3 linked regions of the Caenorhabditis elegans genome follow. The protein of the gene in region 1 interacts with the protein of each later gene in a pairwise test. Each region holds a gene or a part of one and is shown in the gene's direction. Other genes may lie near its edges.

What was found. The genes of interacting proteins can lie anywhere in the genome.
Region 2: the proteins of snrp-40.1 (region 1) and col-93 interact in a two-hybrid assay, tested with the Caenorhabditis elegans proteins (one large-scale study listed by BioGRID).
Region 3: the proteins of snrp-40.1 (region 1) and pal-1 interact in a two-hybrid assay, tested with the Caenorhabditis elegans proteins (one large-scale study listed by BioGRID).

The regions. Positions count from the first base shown.
Region 1 is NC_003284.9:11,297,050-11,302,305, reverse strand, and holds snrp-40.1 (U5 small nuclear ribonucleoprotein 40 kDa protein), read left to right. Parts: upstream 1-2,521; 5' UTR 2,522-2,705; coding exon 2,706-2,721; intron 2,722-2,771; coding exon 2,772-2,839; intron 2,840-2,888; coding exon 2,889-2,987; intron 2,988-3,170; coding exon 3,171-3,927; intron 3,928-3,998; coding exon 3,999-4,054; 3' UTR 4,055-4,270; downstream 4,271-5,256. Other genes in the region: F08G12.1 (Rab-like protein 6), read left to right, coding at 1-12; F08G12.3 (RasGEF domain protein), read right to left, coding at 393-473, 519-745, 793-1,143, 1,397-1,582, 1,630-2,002.
Region 2 is NC_003281.10:10,983,550-10,988,083, reverse strand, and holds col-93 (Nematode cuticle collagen N-terminal domain-containing protein), read left to right. Parts: upstream 1-2,474; 5' UTR 2,475-2,499; coding exon 2,500-2,580; intron 2,581-2,637; coding exon 2,638-3,471; 3' UTR 3,472-3,532; downstream 3,533-4,534. Other genes in the region: col-94 (Nematode cuticle collagen N-terminal domain-containing protein), read left to right, coding at 254-334, 384-1,217; dhc-4 (Dynein heavy chain linker domain-containing protein), read right to left, coding at 1-24.
Region 3 is NC_003281.10:4,803,707-4,811,280, reverse strand, and holds pal-1 (Homeobox protein pal-1), read left to right. Parts: upstream 1-2,571; 5' UTR 2,572-2,572; coding exon 2,573-2,703; intron 2,704-3,179; coding exon 3,180-3,255; intron 3,256-3,309; coding exon 3,310-3,597; intron 3,598-3,921; exon of another isoform or gene 3,922-4,070; intron 4,071-4,132; coding exon 4,133-4,235; intron 4,236-4,409; coding exon 4,410-4,581; intron 4,582-6,027; coding exon 6,028-6,070; 3' UTR 6,071-6,572; downstream 6,573-7,574. Other genes in the region: C38D4.7 (C2H2-type domain-containing protein), read left to right, coding at 131-172, 217-402, 458-867, 914-968, 1,013-1,159; rRNA N(6)-adenosine-methyltransferase metl-5, read right to left, coding at 6,595-6,708, 6,759-6,886, 6,937-7,043, 7,300-7,495. UniProt on the Caenorhabditis elegans protein: Transcriptional activator. Interacts with promoter regions for tbx-8.9, tbx-9, elt-1, hnd-1, scrt-1, and vab-7 genes. Binds the sequence ATTTATGAC. Binds to the enhancer region of the hlh-1 gene promoter during embryonic body wall muscle development.

The DNA.
Region 1 (5,256 bases):
GATCCACTTTAAGCAAATTGGCTACTGAAAACTTATATCAATCACTAACTCGGTCAGGCATTTTATCAAGTTTTGCCAAATCATTGCCAAGGTGCAGCTCGATAATATGTTTTTTGTTTTCCAATACGCAAGTTTCACAAAAAGCTTAAATCATTTTTATTTTATGGTTAGAGCTCTTGGAAAAGAAACAGAAAATGTAATTAAAGTTTATTATTATTTATTATGCCCTTACTTGAATGAAGAATGTAAAAAAATGTGTCGAGAATAAATTATTAAAATCAAATGACAAATGATATTCAGGAAATTAAAAATAACGGGGATCATTGAAGATGGCATCACAGAACATGAATTGGAGATATTGGCGAATTGAAATGACCGGAGTATAATTTGACTCAATTGGTATCCCAGTTTGGATACTTTCTCTGTTGTCCCTCGAAGACATCCAGAATATCCTCCAAATAACAGAGCCCATTCTGAGAGTAACAATGAGTAACGAACACAATTCATTTGAAACTCACTGGATTGTATTTTTTCTTGTTGGCCGTTTTGAAATGTTTCTTGAAATCGTATTGATGTTCAGAGAGAAGCTCCATTTCTGCGACGACATGTGGGGTTCGATTTGTTGCGTATAAAAAGACAGCTAACTTTGGGAAAACCATCTCAAAGATTTGATTTTCCTTTGCATCCCATGGAAGTGGTTTTCTTGCTGCCCCAAAGAAACCACTGAGCTCTCGAAGTCCAATATCTGCAAAAAAAGTATTGACGCTTTTATAAACTTGAACTCAATCTCACTTGAAATTTTGCGAACGAATTCGTGAAGTAAACTTTTCTTCTCAACATAGGTATGAATATGCTCTGCAACAGCTTTTCTGTCTTCCCAGGATCTGATGGCATTGGCTGCGTTCATAACTGACATCGAAGTTTCGCCGAAGATGTTTGTGTATAAGGTAGGTGATTTTGTTTGAGAGAACCGTTCATTAATCTTCCTATATTGGGTGAAGCTTTTTTTCTCCTTAATCTTTCCTGGTGAGCTGAGTGTTGATGGTCCAAGCCCATTGTGAACATTATAATTGAGGGTTTGCATTGCACCTTCAGGTTTCGGGAAAGTGTACATCAGTTGAGCAAGCTGATTATTTGGAACTGCTGAATTGAAATTCTACGTAAACCTCCATATTTTGTAGTTTTGTTGCTTAATTAGCTGACTTTTACATAAATATAGCTTCAAAGTTTTCATTGTTAACAAAAATAAAAATGGCACTAAACAACCAAATTTCATATTCAGCTAGATACGCTAACGTTGACAATTTGTTTGCTAGAAAATACTTAATTTATATTTTTTGAAAGTTAAAATTTTGATGTACAACTCAGCACGTAAAAATTGTAAACTCAAACCCACCATTGAGTAAAGACGATCCAAAGATTCGTGCAGCCAAAAGCAATATAGTTTTAGTTTGCTGGAACTGTAGATATTCTTGAAGAACAGCATGGATTTTCTGATACTCTTGTTGGATTGACGTTAGACCCACTTGGCGCTCGCCAAAATTCATGAGACCGAACAAGCGTGAAAAGTCATCAACGTTTGCTGAAATTATTGTTACATTATTTTATTGGTGTTAACAATTGACTTACTTAATTCATGCAGAAGAACAGTGGAACGTTGTTGCAAAGTCTCAACGGCTTTTGGTCGGTCGTGTAACCACTCCATTTTTTCCTGCATTGAGAATTGATTAATGTGATTGAGTATACAAGTGGATATGTGCTCCAAAGGTTGGATATTTCTGTGATACTCAATCGCTCCGTCTATTTCCTCATTTCGTGTTCTTATATTTTCGTCATAGTAGGCCGGGCTGCTTGTATGGTTTGGTTGAACTGATTGATCATGTTGTTGGGTAACAAATTGGTTTTGTTGATTCGTAACAATTCGCTGAGTTATTTGATAAAGATTCAGCCTGTTCAACGCTTGCTGCGCCTGGAGCAATTGCTCTTGATCACTTTGCAACATCAGTGCCGCAATGAATTGATTGAGAAATATATTCTGAGTATCTGAAAACATATGAATTTATATGTAAAACAATCAAAACGAAAAAGCAACAATGAGAAACGGAAAAAAACTCTAAACTGATATAATGTACAAAAGATTCAGCATGGGAGGAAAGAAAAGTGGAGATGGCTTGGAGAGTTGGCAGGTTGCCAGGGGAACCTTTTTTGGCAAGCCTGATGCGTACGTAGCCTCAAGCGTTTTTTCGCCTTGATAACGTCTAAAGGTAACTGATAGCGGACAGAATCCAATGTTTATCTCCATGTCGTCTCCACTCTCCGTGTGAACCACGCTCTTCTGCCTAGTTGGCAAAAATTTGTTTTTTTTTCTGTAATGTGCACTCTTTCTCGTGGCCTCCACAAATTTCCATGCGGTCGTTGGTTGCCACACAGCAGCTCTTCTCACTCTTCTTTGTTTCTTTTTACTTTCCTTCTTTCCTATGCTCTCTTCTCAGCGCCGGCAGACATTGAGAGGAGACCCGACCTGCTGCCAGGGAGGGAGGACGAACGGCAAGTGTGCGCACTAGAAAATGTAAACGCGCTCCACCGCATTGCATTTACAACTCGTCTCCGCGTTTCTCACACTGCATCGTCATTGTCTATTCGAAAACGTCTTCCAGTGTTCAAATTTGTTTTTCCAGTGGAACCCAACATTTACCAACACAACGATGGCTCTTGTTACTTGTAAGTTTATTTTATAATTTTGTGTAATTTATTTTTATAAAACATTTCAGCTTCGGGACAGCAACTGGTCAGCTCTGGATTTCCACAGCAAACTGCGCAGAGATTCTCCAATTTGATGGTAAATATTAAACATTTATCAAACAACAAACAGAAATCTATATTTTCAGGCACCAACAATGGTTTTGCTAGGTCATGAAGGAGAAATTTACACCGGTGCATTCAGCCCAGATGGAACATGCTTAGCGACTAGTGGATACGACCAGAAAGTGAGTTTTTTTCAAATCCTTGTGGTCTCAAGAATTTATATTCAAATATTAAATTCTATGATTTAATTATTAATTGGTCTTTGCAAATAAGAACAATTGAACGTAGAACTTTGTATAGTCTTGAAAAAACCGAATATAAAACTACCTTCATACTAAACAACCCTTTTAAGCAATGATTTGCAGATCTTCTTCTGGAATGTATACGGCGAATGCGAGAACTTTTCTACAATCAAAGGACACTCAGGAGCAGTTATGGATTTAAAATTCACCACCGACAGCAGCAGTTTGGTCTCTTGTGGAACAGACAAAAGTGTTCGTGTCTGGGATATGGAAACCGGGACTTGCGCTCGTCGCTTCAGAACTCACACAGACTTTGTGAACGCCGTCCATCCGTCTCGTCGTGGTGTAACTCTTGTCGCTTCTGCCAGTGACGATGGAACATGTCGTGTGCATGATATGAGAACCAAGGAACCAGTGAAGACTTACACCAACCGATACCAGCAGACAGCAGTTACATTCAATGATTCTTCGGATCAAGTGATTAGTGGTGGAATTGACAACGTGCTCAAAGTTTGGGACATGCGTCGTGACGAGATTACTTACACTCTGACTGGACATCGTGACACAATTACTGGAATCTCTTTGTCACCAAGTGGGAAATTCATCATTTCCAATTCAATGGATTGCACTGTTCGACAATGGGATATTCGACCATTCGTACCAGGACAACGTTCGGTGGGAGTTTTTGCTGGTCATAATCACAATTTCGAGAAGAACCTTCTCAAATGTTCTTGGTCGCCATGTGAGAGATTCATCACTGCTGGCTCGTCGGATCGTTTTCTCTACGTCTGGGAAACACTGTCGAAAAAAATTGTGTACAAGCTTCCAGGTCACATGGGAAGTGTCAACTGTACCGATTTCCACCCAAAGGAACCTATCAGTGAGTTAAAAATAAATTACAAAAATTTAAAATTTCCATTGTTTGACCATTCAATAATTTCAATTTTTCAGTGCTCTCGTGTGGAAGTGACAAACGTGTTTTCTTGGGAGAAATCGATATGAGCTAGAAATTCAAAACATCCATATTCGCCGGTTAAATTTGTTTTTTGTCATTTTTCTGTTTTGTTTTTTTCACTGGATCTCCTTTTTTGATGTAATTTTTGAACTTACTTTATGTCCGACTCTCTTTATTTATTTTTCAGTGATCATGTTTTATCAAATGAATTCTTGCAATTCAAAATTGAAGTACGCCAGAAAAATTGTTTTAATGGAAATACGAAAGAAGATGAAGGCGGTAACAGCGAAAGATGAAGGTCAATATTTAATCAATTTACCGCAATTGCTCTAGAGTAAACAATTGGATGGATAATTATCAATGCGTGAAGAAGTATCAATTCGCATTCCGAGTTACTGGCAATTGTTTAATTCTCAAGTTCTCCTTTTTTCTTTCTTTTTTGTCAAATGGCAAAACAAGTTTAAGCATATTTTCCTTTTTTTAAGTGTTATAGTTGAGTCGTATCAAAATGATCGTTCCCTGAGTACTGTCATACTGAGTCGAGGGGCCGTATGCAAGCTTTTCAGTCTTTTACAATTTAAAAAAAGCATAGAATATGATTGAAACAAAAATCTAAGAAACCGCGCTCCATGCTTGCAAACGGTGTCGAGATAAAATTAGCAGTATCCACGGAGCAGTTATTTTGGCGCGACCGTGTATGATTTCAATCGAGTTTAATACTTGGATTATTAATACAGACCAAACTAAACTATTCCATGATGGGATGTCTGTGCACAGTTTTTTATTGAGCAAACAAGTACTTGTACGGTTGATTGCAGCTGCATGATTTCCCGATTCTCGCAGTGGACATGAATGACGTACTTAAAAACACCAACCGTATTTAAAATATTTGCTCATTCTTTTTTTTCAAAAAAAAAAAAAAAAATTACACCAGATATTAAACCAAATTGTCGATTCCTTGCCTTTTTAATTTTTAGGTATTTGCTCGTGCATGAACACATTACTTCTTCCCATCGTCATTATTAGGTGTTATCTCATATTCGAGTGCCATTCAACATTGCAGATGGGTCTCTCTGCGTCTCTCTGTAGTCTCTCGCTCTCTCACTGTGTGCCGTTTCTCGGAGGTCCGAGATAATACGGTCGATGAGCGCGGACCGCTCTGCTGTGTGACCTCTTCTAGACTGCACGTAGCGTTTGCGTGCGCACACCTCGCGTAGTGGTCCGCGTTCGCATTACTTGCGCTGGCCATTTGGT
Region 2 (4,534 bases), on another chromosome or scaffold:
CGTGTGCCTTCTGCTACTAGTTCTCTGAAAGTTGTAAGTTGACAGTATCATGACCTTCAGATAGGTATGATCATGCAGTAAGGTAATGCGGAAGTGTTTACGATCGGTTATCTTCTTCTTTTTCAGGGACACTTCTCTAGAGGAGAAGGAAGGGGTTACACAAAAGAGTGTGTAAAACTGTATAAGGGGTTGGGCTAGGCTAGCGCAGGTATAAAAGGAATCATCAATGACATGTTAGACACCTCATCTGAAAATGGACGAGAAACAACGCCTTCAGGCTTACCGCTTCGTCGCCTACTCGGCTGTTACCTTCTCCACTGTCGCAGTTTTCTCGGTTAGTTTTCAAGTTTTTCAGCCAGGTTCTAATCAAAATATCTTTACAGCTGTGCATCACCCTTCCATTGGTGTACAACTATGTTGATGGAATCAAGACCCAGATCAACCATGAGATCAAGTTCTGCAAGCACTCTGCTCGTGACATTTTCGCTGAGGTGAACCACATCCGTGGATCTCCAAAGAACGCTTCCCGTTTCGCCCGTCAAGCTGGATATGGAACCGATGAGGCTGTTGAGACCGGAAACACCGGATCCCAAGGAGGATCATGCTCTGGATGCTGCCTTCCAGGAGCCGCTGGACCAGCCGGAACCCCAGGAAAGCCAGGAAGACCAGGACGTCCAGGAGCAGCTGGACTTCCAGGAAACCCAGGACGCCCACCAGCACAGCCATGTGAGCCAATCACCCCACCACCATGCAAGCCATGCCCACAAGGACCAGCTGGAGCCCCAGGAGCCCCAGGACCACAAGGAGATGCCGGAGCACCAGGACAAGCCGGACAAGGATCAGGAGCCGGAGCCCCAGGACCAGCTGGACCAAAGGGAGCCCCAGGAGCCCCAGGAAACCCAGGACAAGCCGGAGCCCCAGGACAACCAGGATCCGACGCTCAATCCGAGTCTTCTCCAGGAGCCCCAGGACAAGCCGGACCACAAGGACCACCAGGACCAGCTGGATCCCCAGGAGCACCAGGAGGACCAGGACAAGCCGGAGCCCCAGGACCAAAGGGACCATCAGGAGCCCCAGGACAGCCAGGAGCCGACGGAAACCCAGGAGCCCCAGGACAGCCAGGACAATCTGGAGGTGCCGGAGAGAAGGGAATCTGTCCAAAGTACTGCGCCATCGACGGAGGAGTCTTCTTCGAGGACGGAACCCGCAGAAAGTAAATGTCAGATTTATTTCTTCCGATCAAATAAACAGATTTCATTTCAATCTTGCGTAATTTCTTCTTTTTCTCTTTTATTTCTTCTCACAGTACACATGAATCTCCTTCGGTTACGTCGGTTTTTCATAGACAAAGAGGCGAAACTAAGAGATACGGAAAGTGAAAGTAGCTGCCGTTGCGGGTGTTTGGTTTGCAAAATAGTTAAGTAGCCACATAAAGACGGACAAATTGAAAGGAAGCGCCTTGTGCGGTAGGCGCTTGAATTTTTTAGAATGGTTAATTGATGAAGCTAAAGAAATTATTGTAAAGAGTCTTTTATTATACAAAAAAGGAATGGCCCAAGTTGTGTTGAAAATTAGTGTAGGGTTAATTCTCTTACTAATTATTTTCTTGTGAAGTATGAATAAACTGGTGTCGTTGTATTTAGTTGATAAGCAAGTTGCATGAAAAATCCTTGGATATTCCATTTGATCCAAGAAAAGGCCTTGATTTGAATAAAACAATTATTATCGTAAATGGGGAAATGTTTAAACATGCATAACCCAAAAACTGTGATAGTTAGCAAAATACTCTTGACTATCAAAATGTTGCCGAATACTTTTTCTAGTTCTAATACTGTCCAAATTATGTAATTCTATTCAGTTGAAAGTTACAGCAACTGACATCCGGTGGGTCTGTATTTTGAATAGACTAGAATTGCTTAATAAATCACAACTTTAAACTTATGTTAGGTATTTTCATGAAGCAAAGCTTGGCAAGAAAATAATCACAGTTTTATACTTTTTTCTTTTGAAAAGTTGGAGATATGTGAACTCAACAAATGTGTTTTCAATCCCATAAAATTCAGAACATCTCGAGAAACTCCGATTGTTTTTTCTTGCCCTAGTCGACTCTATAAGATTGACATCAAATGAGACTGAAGCACTTGACCAGACTAATTTGAAACCTAATCTACTTCTATAACCTTCAGAACACAACCATCACAACAGTTCATGGTCACTTGTCGCTGGCTGGCAGCTACTTCCTTATCACTTCCTTTTCTTTAATTCTCCAATTTTCCCCGGCATCTTCAATGCCAATGGCGCAACTAAAATGACTATTTGAGAAAAAAAAATTGAAAAAGAAGGAACAAACGATTTCTGAACACTCTGCAAACCTAATCTACACTCTCCACCCATTACAGTTTGAGTGTAAATTTAATACAATACAGTTTAACGGAACTGAACACTATATAATGGGGTTGTGGGGACGGGTAAAACGCGCACTTGCCCATCTTTATTGCAATGGAGGAGCAACAACGTCTTCAGGCTTACCGCTTTGTCGCCTACTCGGCTGTTACCTTCTCGGTTGTCGCCGTTTTCTCGGTAAGTTTGAATTCTTTGCACTCTACATTTTAGTTAATTGAATATGGAATATTTTAGCTGTGCATCACCCTTCCATTGGTGTACAACTATGTTGATGGAATCAAGACCCAGATCAACCATGAGATCAAGTTCTGCAAGCACTCTGCTCGTGACATTTTCGCTGAGGTGAACCACATCCGTGGATCTCCAAAGAACGCTTCCCGTTTCGCCCGTCAAGCTGGATACGGAACCGATGAGGCTGTTGAGACCGGAAACACCGGATCCCAAGGAGGATCATGCTCTGGATGCTGCCTTCCAGGAGCCGCTGGACCAGCCGGAACCCCAGGAAAGCCAGGAAGACCAGGACGTCCAGGAGCAGCTGGACTTCCAGGAAACCCAGGACGCCCACCAGCACAACCATGTGAGCCAATCACCCCACCACCATGCAAGCCATGCCCACAAGGACCAGCTGGAGCCCCAGGAGCCCCAGGACCACAAGGAGATGCCGGAGCACCAGGACAAGCCGGGCAAGGATCAGGAGCCGGAGCCCCAGGACCAGCCGGACCAAAGGGAGCCCCAGGAGCCCCAGGAAACCCAGGACAAGCTGGAGCCCCAGGACAACCAGGATCCGACGCTCAATCCGAGTCTTCTCCAGGAGCCCCAGGACAAGCCGGACCACAAGGACCACCAGGACCAGCTGGATCCCCAGGAGCCCCAGGAGGACCAGGACAAGCCGGAGCCCCAGGACCAAAGGGACCATCAGGAGCCCCAGGACAGCCAGGAGCCGACGGAAACCCAGGAGCCCCAGGACAGCCAGGACAATCTGGAGGTGCCGGAGAGAAGGGAATCTGTCCAAAGTACTGCGCCATCGACGGAGGAGTATTCTTCGAGGACGGAACCCGCAGAAAGTAAACACTCAGGAAGATTTAGTTCTTTACCGTCTAGTCATTTTTAATCGAATAAAAACATTTCATTTCAATTTTTCAATTTCTTTAAAGAATTTATTTGACAGGTCTTATTACTTGTGGTTTTTGAAACTGGAAATCTATTTAAGCATAATTAATACAACACGAAGCAATACGTCAGTTATTTAATTATATCAAAGTAAAAATTGTAAGAACACAACTTATAATCCCAATAAACGACTTATATTCTATCGGGATTAATGCTGGTTGTATGTGTCACAAGGTAGTGACACCCTGAATCTCTGAAATTGTTTTGTAATTGCTTTGAAACCTCATCTGGCAAAAATTTACCATGATTTTATTGTATAAATCGGGAAACTACAAAAACCAATCAAAATACTATATCACAGCTAAAAATCGCGTTCTCTCTCAATTTATTGGTGTAAAGGAATTCTTAAAGTTATTAATGAATAAGCTTCAAATGTAATCTGGTTTTAGACGGAAAGTACTGATGCCAATGACAAGCAAATTGATGAAACATAGTAAAGAAACAATATCGTAGATTCAACTAATAAATATTAGTCCAAATCTATTACCGTATTTCATTGATTAGTTTCGCACGAAAGACTAACTTTTAAGAGCTCTATGTAGAAGATAATTTTATGACAAAAAACTCGATTTGAAACCATCTGATCCATAAAATGTCAAGCTTATTCTATCTTAAAAGAAAATTTAACAAACTTTTGCCTGCCTATCAACATGCCACTAAGAGGTTTTGAGAAGGCTCCATTTAAGCTACAATAGAGGAAATACGGTAGCCTATTACTTCCAAATCAATCAATTCAAGGCTTGAAGAAGGAGTACCGTATACGGGGAAATTCCACTAGTTCAAAAAAAACCAAATATGATACATAGTAATAAAATTCAATAAAAAATCTAGATTTAATATGATTGTTTTGAAAATTAAAAAAATCTCAATTTGCATCAAATATGCGACAGAACTATACTTTTTTTGAAGTTTTACTATGATACTTGGCCTTTTCGGCACCATAGAAATGATTTTTTATTAA
Region 3 (7,574 bases), on another chromosome or scaffold:
TTTTCAGCTTTTGATTCGGAATTTTTTTTATTAGAACGTGTTCACGCTATTCTTCTCGTTGGGTCTCGCCACGATCACTGTCGTTTTAGCTGCTAAAAGTGCAAATCTTCACAAAATCATACATTTCAGGATGAGCAAGCCAAGCACTCCAGCTCCAGCCTCTGCTGACCAAGTGAGTTTTTCATTTCATTGTACCTAAAAAATAATCGTTTTCAGAATGGCGATTCCGCCACCCGACAGACTGCCCAGACTACTGAAACTCCCGCGAGTTTGCTTTCTGCTGTGGGAAATGGTGCACCGAATATGGCGGGATTTACCCTCAACCGCGATATGGTCCCATTCTTCCCCTACCAACTCCAAAATCCGATGCTCCAACCACCACAAAACTCTTTGGAAAATGCGGTTAGTACATTGACTTTTACAATTGAGCCATTACTGAAATGGAATTATTTTTCAGATTGTGCACTCACTGGGTACTCTGGCTGCTCAGTCATCCATGTTTGGGCAGTTGTGTGAGAAGATGCTAAAAGCCCAAGAAGAAGCTCGCGCCGATCAACGATCCATTCGCGAAGAGCATCGAGCTGAAAGAGAGAAGGCCGACGAGCGGAGCCAGCAAAATATGGATAAGATGATGGCACTTGTCCATTCTCTCGTGGAACGTGTCGATAGGAGCCACGCTTCGTCATATGATGTGGTTGGTCAAAAGAATCCATCGTCCAGCTCCCTCAAACCAGCGAAAAGAGTCAAGTCTGCCGTTGTTCGTCAATCCAATTTAGCCAAGCGGACCGGAGCACCTGTTGATGCTGCAAAGGAGTTGAAAAAGATTCGAGATGAGGAAAACAGAAACCATGGACGATCTGCTGAAAGGTAATTCTAGTTGTGTTTTTTTTTTCAATTTAAATGAGAGTTTCAGAGATAATGTGTTCATCGGTGCAGTGCTGGTGGGGAAAGGATCTCAGTACGATAAGGTAAGCCTGAAAATTATAAAAAATTAGTTGAAGTTGTTTTTCAGGATCTTGAAAAATTCAAGAGCTTCCGATGCAGGACCTGCAATGAAGTTTCCCAGACGAAGGAGCAGCTCGTGGATCACTTTTCAAACAACCACGCCGGCGAACTTGGGGCGAGAAGGTCACTGCGAATAAAGCAGACCTCGTGTTAAATTTCTTTTTTAATTTATATTCGTTTTTGTTTTAAAATTTAAGCTTTTTTGATACAAATAAATTTTATAGTAAATAAATCTTGTTTCTCCTACCAGCTATCTAACTATTCCCAACAGTGGGTGGCAATAAATACGAGACGCGGCTCTTCTCACGGCGGTATCATAGATGCACAAAGAGCAAAACGATTACGCAACAGACAGCCGGGTCATATTCAGGTCAAACTTGATAGTGCATGAAATCGAGTAGTAAGCGACTCTTTGATATTTTCAGATGCTCCATTTGTTGTTCTTCATGACAGCTGCAGAGTTCCCAGATCGTAAATGTTTAATGTTCTGAAAGAAGGTACATAATCAGTCAAAGGGCGGTCTCATTGTTGCCTTTTATATCAAATCTTTGGAGGACAAATTGTCGATTTCAGCAACATTTTTTGTTAAGAATCTCCAACTTTTAGAATAACTATTTAATAGATCACTCGTTTCTGATAAGAGAAATAATTCTCTGCTACCGTAATCTTTGCTCCACATGAACCTGTCAGTCATAAATGCTCATTCGTATCGTACTCAATTAAACTTTCATCGCTCATTTATTTCCTAATGAACATCGTAATGGAACCTCAATTCCAGATGGGCTCAATGGCCGGTAGACTTACTATTATTTGGGCGAGTAGATCAAATATGAGGTGAGTGATCTATTTTTCAAATTATTTTAAAGGCGGGATCTCATTGAAATTAAATTTAGTGGCTAAAATTCTTCTTTTCTTAATTTTTGGCTAGATGATTTTTTCTAATCTTTTTCAAAATTTTATAATTTTTAAAATATTTATTTAAATAAAAAGATATTTAACAGCAAGTTAACTATTGAACAATAAATTAAATAAAAATCTTCGTAAATCGACAAGTGGAAAGTGCGCTCTATTGAGCTGATCAGTCAGTAAAAATTTTTCAGTGTTAATTTTTTTCTGTTCTTCATTTCTGTTGAGTTTTAACGTTTCTTTTATATTTGTCTTGCTAATTTCAATGCTAAAAATCAATTCTAAAAACGCATATTTTATTAAAGTAAGAAAATCCATCTTCGAATACAGTCTCGGACAGTTTCCTGCACAGACCAATAATTTATTTCCCAACGAACTGGGCGTTTTTGTTTCCTTGCCGACCTGTCTCATTGTAAAAGTGATATGTTTGTCTGAAAATCGACGTGTGGCTATAAATCATTCACAATTCCCTCTCCCGTTCATATCTGATAAATCCCGCCTTCCCAAGTGCTCAATGAGCCGCAGGAGGCGGTGCCGGGTTGCCAGCTCGTTATTTTATTGCTATTCTCATCAAATCTCGAAAATCTTCCTTCAAATTTTGAATTTTTATTACTGTTCACTTTTCTCTATATAAACTGATAATTACTTCCTCGTTTTCAGAATGTCGGTCGATGTCAAGTCGGATTTTTCGGAAAACGAGTCCTCATCAACACCTTCACCAACAACAGTTCCAGCAGATGTCACGTGGCCTCACTATCCAATGATGCCATTCATGCAACCACATCCTCTGAGGCTAGATCTTCGAAATTTTTATTTGGAATCTCAAAATCAACGAAAAATTAAATATTTCCTGTTGGTGTTTCATTACGACCAAGTGAACAAAATTAAATACCATAAATATTTAATAATCCAGCACACACACATGGTTGTAAATCCATGCCCTTTCTCTTATTTATCTCCTTCAAAATATTTGCTAACCATGTATTTATTCTCAAATATTGTCGCCTTTTTGATGATAGAATTTGTTTGAAAGGTTATATGCAAATTTTCGATCTATCCGGAGGGTACGGTAACGCCCCGCCTCCACAGTGTATTGGAAGACATTGCTCCGCCCATTTCCACCGTTGGAATGAAGCGGGAGGGTGTCTAAGAGGTAATAGGCGTGTGTGTGTGTATCAATTGACAAGAACATTTGATTAAGGAGGTGCTATATTTTGAAGTTTTTCTTGTTTTTTTTTTTCATTTTATACTTAATTTTCTTTTTTCAGAGAAAAGATGCTGCAACCAACATTTGATCCACAAATCTATGGAAGGTGGTCACAAATGGGTGATACTGGTTTTTACGTACGTTTTGAATGAATTTCCTTAAGGTTTTTTATTTAAAAATTGAATTTCCAGGGACATCCGGATCTCTATCCATTCGGCCTTCCACAACTCGCTGCCAACGGACAAATTCCAGCAGTAGAAGCCGTTGATGTGAAGCCACCGCTTTCGAATGGAAGTAGCAGTAGTGATAGTGGAATGTATCCATCACCGAGTGATATGATGACACCGTTCCCATCAACATCATCTGGAGCTGCATCTTCTTCAGAGCTTTCAGCAGCTGCTGCTGCTGCAGCCAACTACCAGATGAGAGCTGCCACGTGTTATCAGCAATCTGTTTGGCCGTTTATGGATTATCAACAGGTAATCATATAAAATTGTATTTTAATACCTTTGTTGGCTTTTATAACACCAAAAAACATAATTTCCTAGCGAGACTTTTCAAAAACTGTTCACATTTTTTATGACTCTAAATTGTTGGTACAGTTTTTATTGAATTTTATTTTTTATTGCATATTTTAGGTACGGCTACTCGCGTTTATTCATTGATTTAAGCAGTCTACTTCCAAAAATTACAAAAATTCAGTGCCTATCGGCTTAGAACGCGCCTAAATCAACGAATTAACACGAGATAAATTACCAAAATATGCAATGAAAAATGAAAACTTACTAAAAACTGTATTTCAGCTACTAGACAAGGATAAGTTGATAAAATTTTAGATTTCAGCATTTTTGGCTCTTTTCGATATTTTAAGCTGCCATAAAATTAGGAAATTCTGTCGTTTGTGGTAACTTGTCTAATAAATATCTCTAATAATGTCTAATAAGTCTAATAAAGCAGCCAATTTTTGATCTGTTAGTTCTCCTCCAAGTGAGCTTGTTTTAAAGATAATTTAAGTTTCAGGGATTCTCGTGGAAAATGCCTCTTGGAAACAATCATGGAAAGGATCGAAGATCAAGCAGTGATGGGAAAACATTACCAACGGGACCTGGAACGAATAGTAAGTTTTCAAAAGAGTCTCCCCGTGTGCAAACAATCTCTCTTCAAGTGAAAAAGAAGCCGCTATCAGTCATATTTATCAGTAACTAGGACAAATGAATTGAGTATTTATGATTCCTTTCCCATCAATTTCCCATTTTATTACGAGGGAGTTTGTAATTAAACTTATTTTCAGATGTCCGTGTACGAACAGCTGACAAATACCGTATGGTTTACTCGGATTATCAACGCCTTGAACTGGAAAAAGAATTCCATACATCGCCATTCATAACATCAGATCGCAAGTCCCAATTGTCGACGATGTTAAGCTTGACAGAACGACAAATCAAGATTTGGTTTCAAAATAGGTAGATTCTTTTTTAAACTCACTGCCTAAAATGGGATGATTGATTACTACAAATTTGAAGACACCAAAATAATATCAAGTTTTCTTGATTTGGCACAGAGATGAAAGGCGGTAAAGGTGATGCGGTGTATGAGTTACGGTGCTTACGCAATTCGACCCGTGTGGCAGGTAGCAGGAGAGTCTTTAGCCGTGAAAGAGTGTTAGAGTGACCTCAATTTATATGATGAGAGGTGGCAAATTGGGATTGTTATGGTGTGAGATGTCATATTAATAGATCTGAAAGTTTAATTTGGTTTATTGGAATCATGAGATTAGACTTCAAATATTGACACATATTTCACAACGTCATTTAATTAACAGATGATGTTGCCCTCTGCAAATCTCATTTGAATTCATTCATTCCGCGCCCTTTCGAGCCAAATACGTTGTTTGCTGTTTGCTGTTTGCTTACTCTTTCTCAGGCTTTTCCAGGGGACTCATCACAATGACTGTCACCTCCTACTGTAACCATAGGAAAAAGTACCACCACACTTTCGTTCTTTAAGATTCAGTTCAGTCCACGCGCGCAGTAGAGATAGTTCCAAGGAATTAAAGAGTCGTAAAGTTGTGTAATTGGAGGCCACAGTGTTTGAGACGTGCTGGTGGAGGTGAGGAAGAGATGAAGTTTGTTAATTGGTCCGTTTACGACTTTCTAATTGGTATTACTGTAGAAGAGAGGTGGTCACTGCTTGCATGTGTGGCTATCTACGCGTTCGGGGATTTGGAAATTAACAAGGGAATAGGATATCTAGTGCGAATTTCCAAGTTATTGGGATAAAACACTTCCCGTAAAGTGCTACTGTTAATCTCCTTCACTCGCATGTTAAAGGGAGAGTATCGTTTGTAGGTTTGCAAAAAAATATACTCAAAATGCCCCAAATTTCAAGTTTTTGCCTTTATTTAATTAGGTGAGGTTCTAGCTCAATGAAAGAGTCTACAGAAATGATAAAGCAAGGGTTTCTGACCAGCTCGCAGAGATATACCAATTATCTGCTCAACAGTCGTTTTTTTTGTTGTCTGTTGCCTTGTTTGACAATATTAGTGCGCATCGAAAGATTTACGAGGGGAATAGAAACGTCGTCGGCAGAGATTCCCAGAGTGCTGTAAAATGGAAATCAATGTGTGTGTCCCTTTCCTGTAGCGTCCCAATCCAAACAGACATACATACTGTGTTGGACAGACGTGACCGCCGTTTTCCTGGGAAGAGGTAACATACGGACGAACCATACCGGTCATTGTATTCATTAAAAGAAAGGGAATATAAACCAAAAGATTGATGTTCCCTATCCCTTTTCTTTGAAAAGCGTATTTTTTTTGAATTCACCACTGGGACGGCATCTTTTTGATCTCAATATATTCTGATAAATTGTTAATTTCCGTAATAATACTGTAATATTTTTAATTGCAGGCGTGCAAAGGATCGTCGTGACAAACAGAAGATTCGGCTATAAGTACTCATCTACTTACAAAGAAAATGTACAAAAATTCTGGGAATTTTCATATTTTTCTAGAATATTGTACACATTTATTATATTTTTACATTTCTCTCGCTTGAATACGGTTAAATTCACACTTTTATATAATTTCTTCCTGTCCCATCTCCCATTCTCTCACATCAGAATATTCTAATCATCACTGCCCTTAACATATATATATATATATTTATAACTTTCCGATCATTCCTTCTGCTTTGTAAACTAATCCAATCATTCTCTAATGAATTATTCCCTAATATAGAGCTTCTTTATTTATTGTGATTTCTTGTTTCTTACCCTTCTCAAGGTTTAGGAAAAAGTTTAGGTCCCCATTTGTTATGTATTTACTTCCCACTCTGAACGGATCCATTTTGAACATGTTTTCTATTTTTTGGAAAAGTTTAGAGAATTCTTTGCTTTTCTCACATATCTTGATTGCATATTTTTTATAACAAAACAATGAAACAATTTTGAAGAATTTACAGCAGAAATTGATGAGATTAACTATCCAGTTTTTTGAAATGTATTAAATCGACGGCAATATCCACGGCCTTTTGTTTATGGAATTTGTAAGTCGCTGGTAGTTGCCACCGCATTTCTGCACAACATTCTGCCTGAAACTCAATATTTTTTTTTCTAATTTTAGAATAATTTAAAAACAAACCCCAACTCCGTCCCATTTCTTTGCATTTTTTAGAATATAATCTCTAGTTGATGATTTATGAAGTGAAAATACACTTCCACCAGGCCGAACCATTTGAAGACCGATTTGGACAAATTGCATATCGATTCCTGAGAAATTTAAGATATTGTAACGTTTTAGGAGATCGTTGGATATTTACCTGCATTATTTTTTGTTCCAAATGGAGGATTAATGACAGCCACGTCGAATGTGCCACGTGGAAGATCGGATTCCGGGTCGAGAATGTCGGCTTGTAGAAGCTCGCATCTGGAAGAATTGAAAGTTTTTAATTTTTTATTATTACCCAAATACGATTTTTAGCCGAAAATACGGTACCCGGTCTCGAAGCGCCCGATTTTCTTAAATTCAGAAAGATGTGCGCTTTTAAAGAGTACTGTAGTTTCTAACTCCACATTTTGAGCCGCTTCGAGACCGGGTATTTTTGTAGGTTAAATTTCAAATTGAAAAATGTTAGTTGAATTTAGAATGTAAACATATATTTTACTTTTTTTTTAGTTCTCACCTATCCTGTACTTCAGCTGTTTCCAAATTTCTAGAACAAATTTTAAGTGCTTCATCATCTATATCAACTCCTAAAACAGTCTCCAACTCATACATTGTGGCAGCTGTCGTCATTAACATTCCACATCCACATCCGATATCAATTAATTTCTTTCCTTCAAAACCAATTGTTTCATCGATCATTTCCATCATCGAGACTGTAATTATTTTGATTTTCTTATTTTGATTTTAGTTGGTAAAAGCTTATTTCAAAAATGTTTTTTACAGTGTATACTG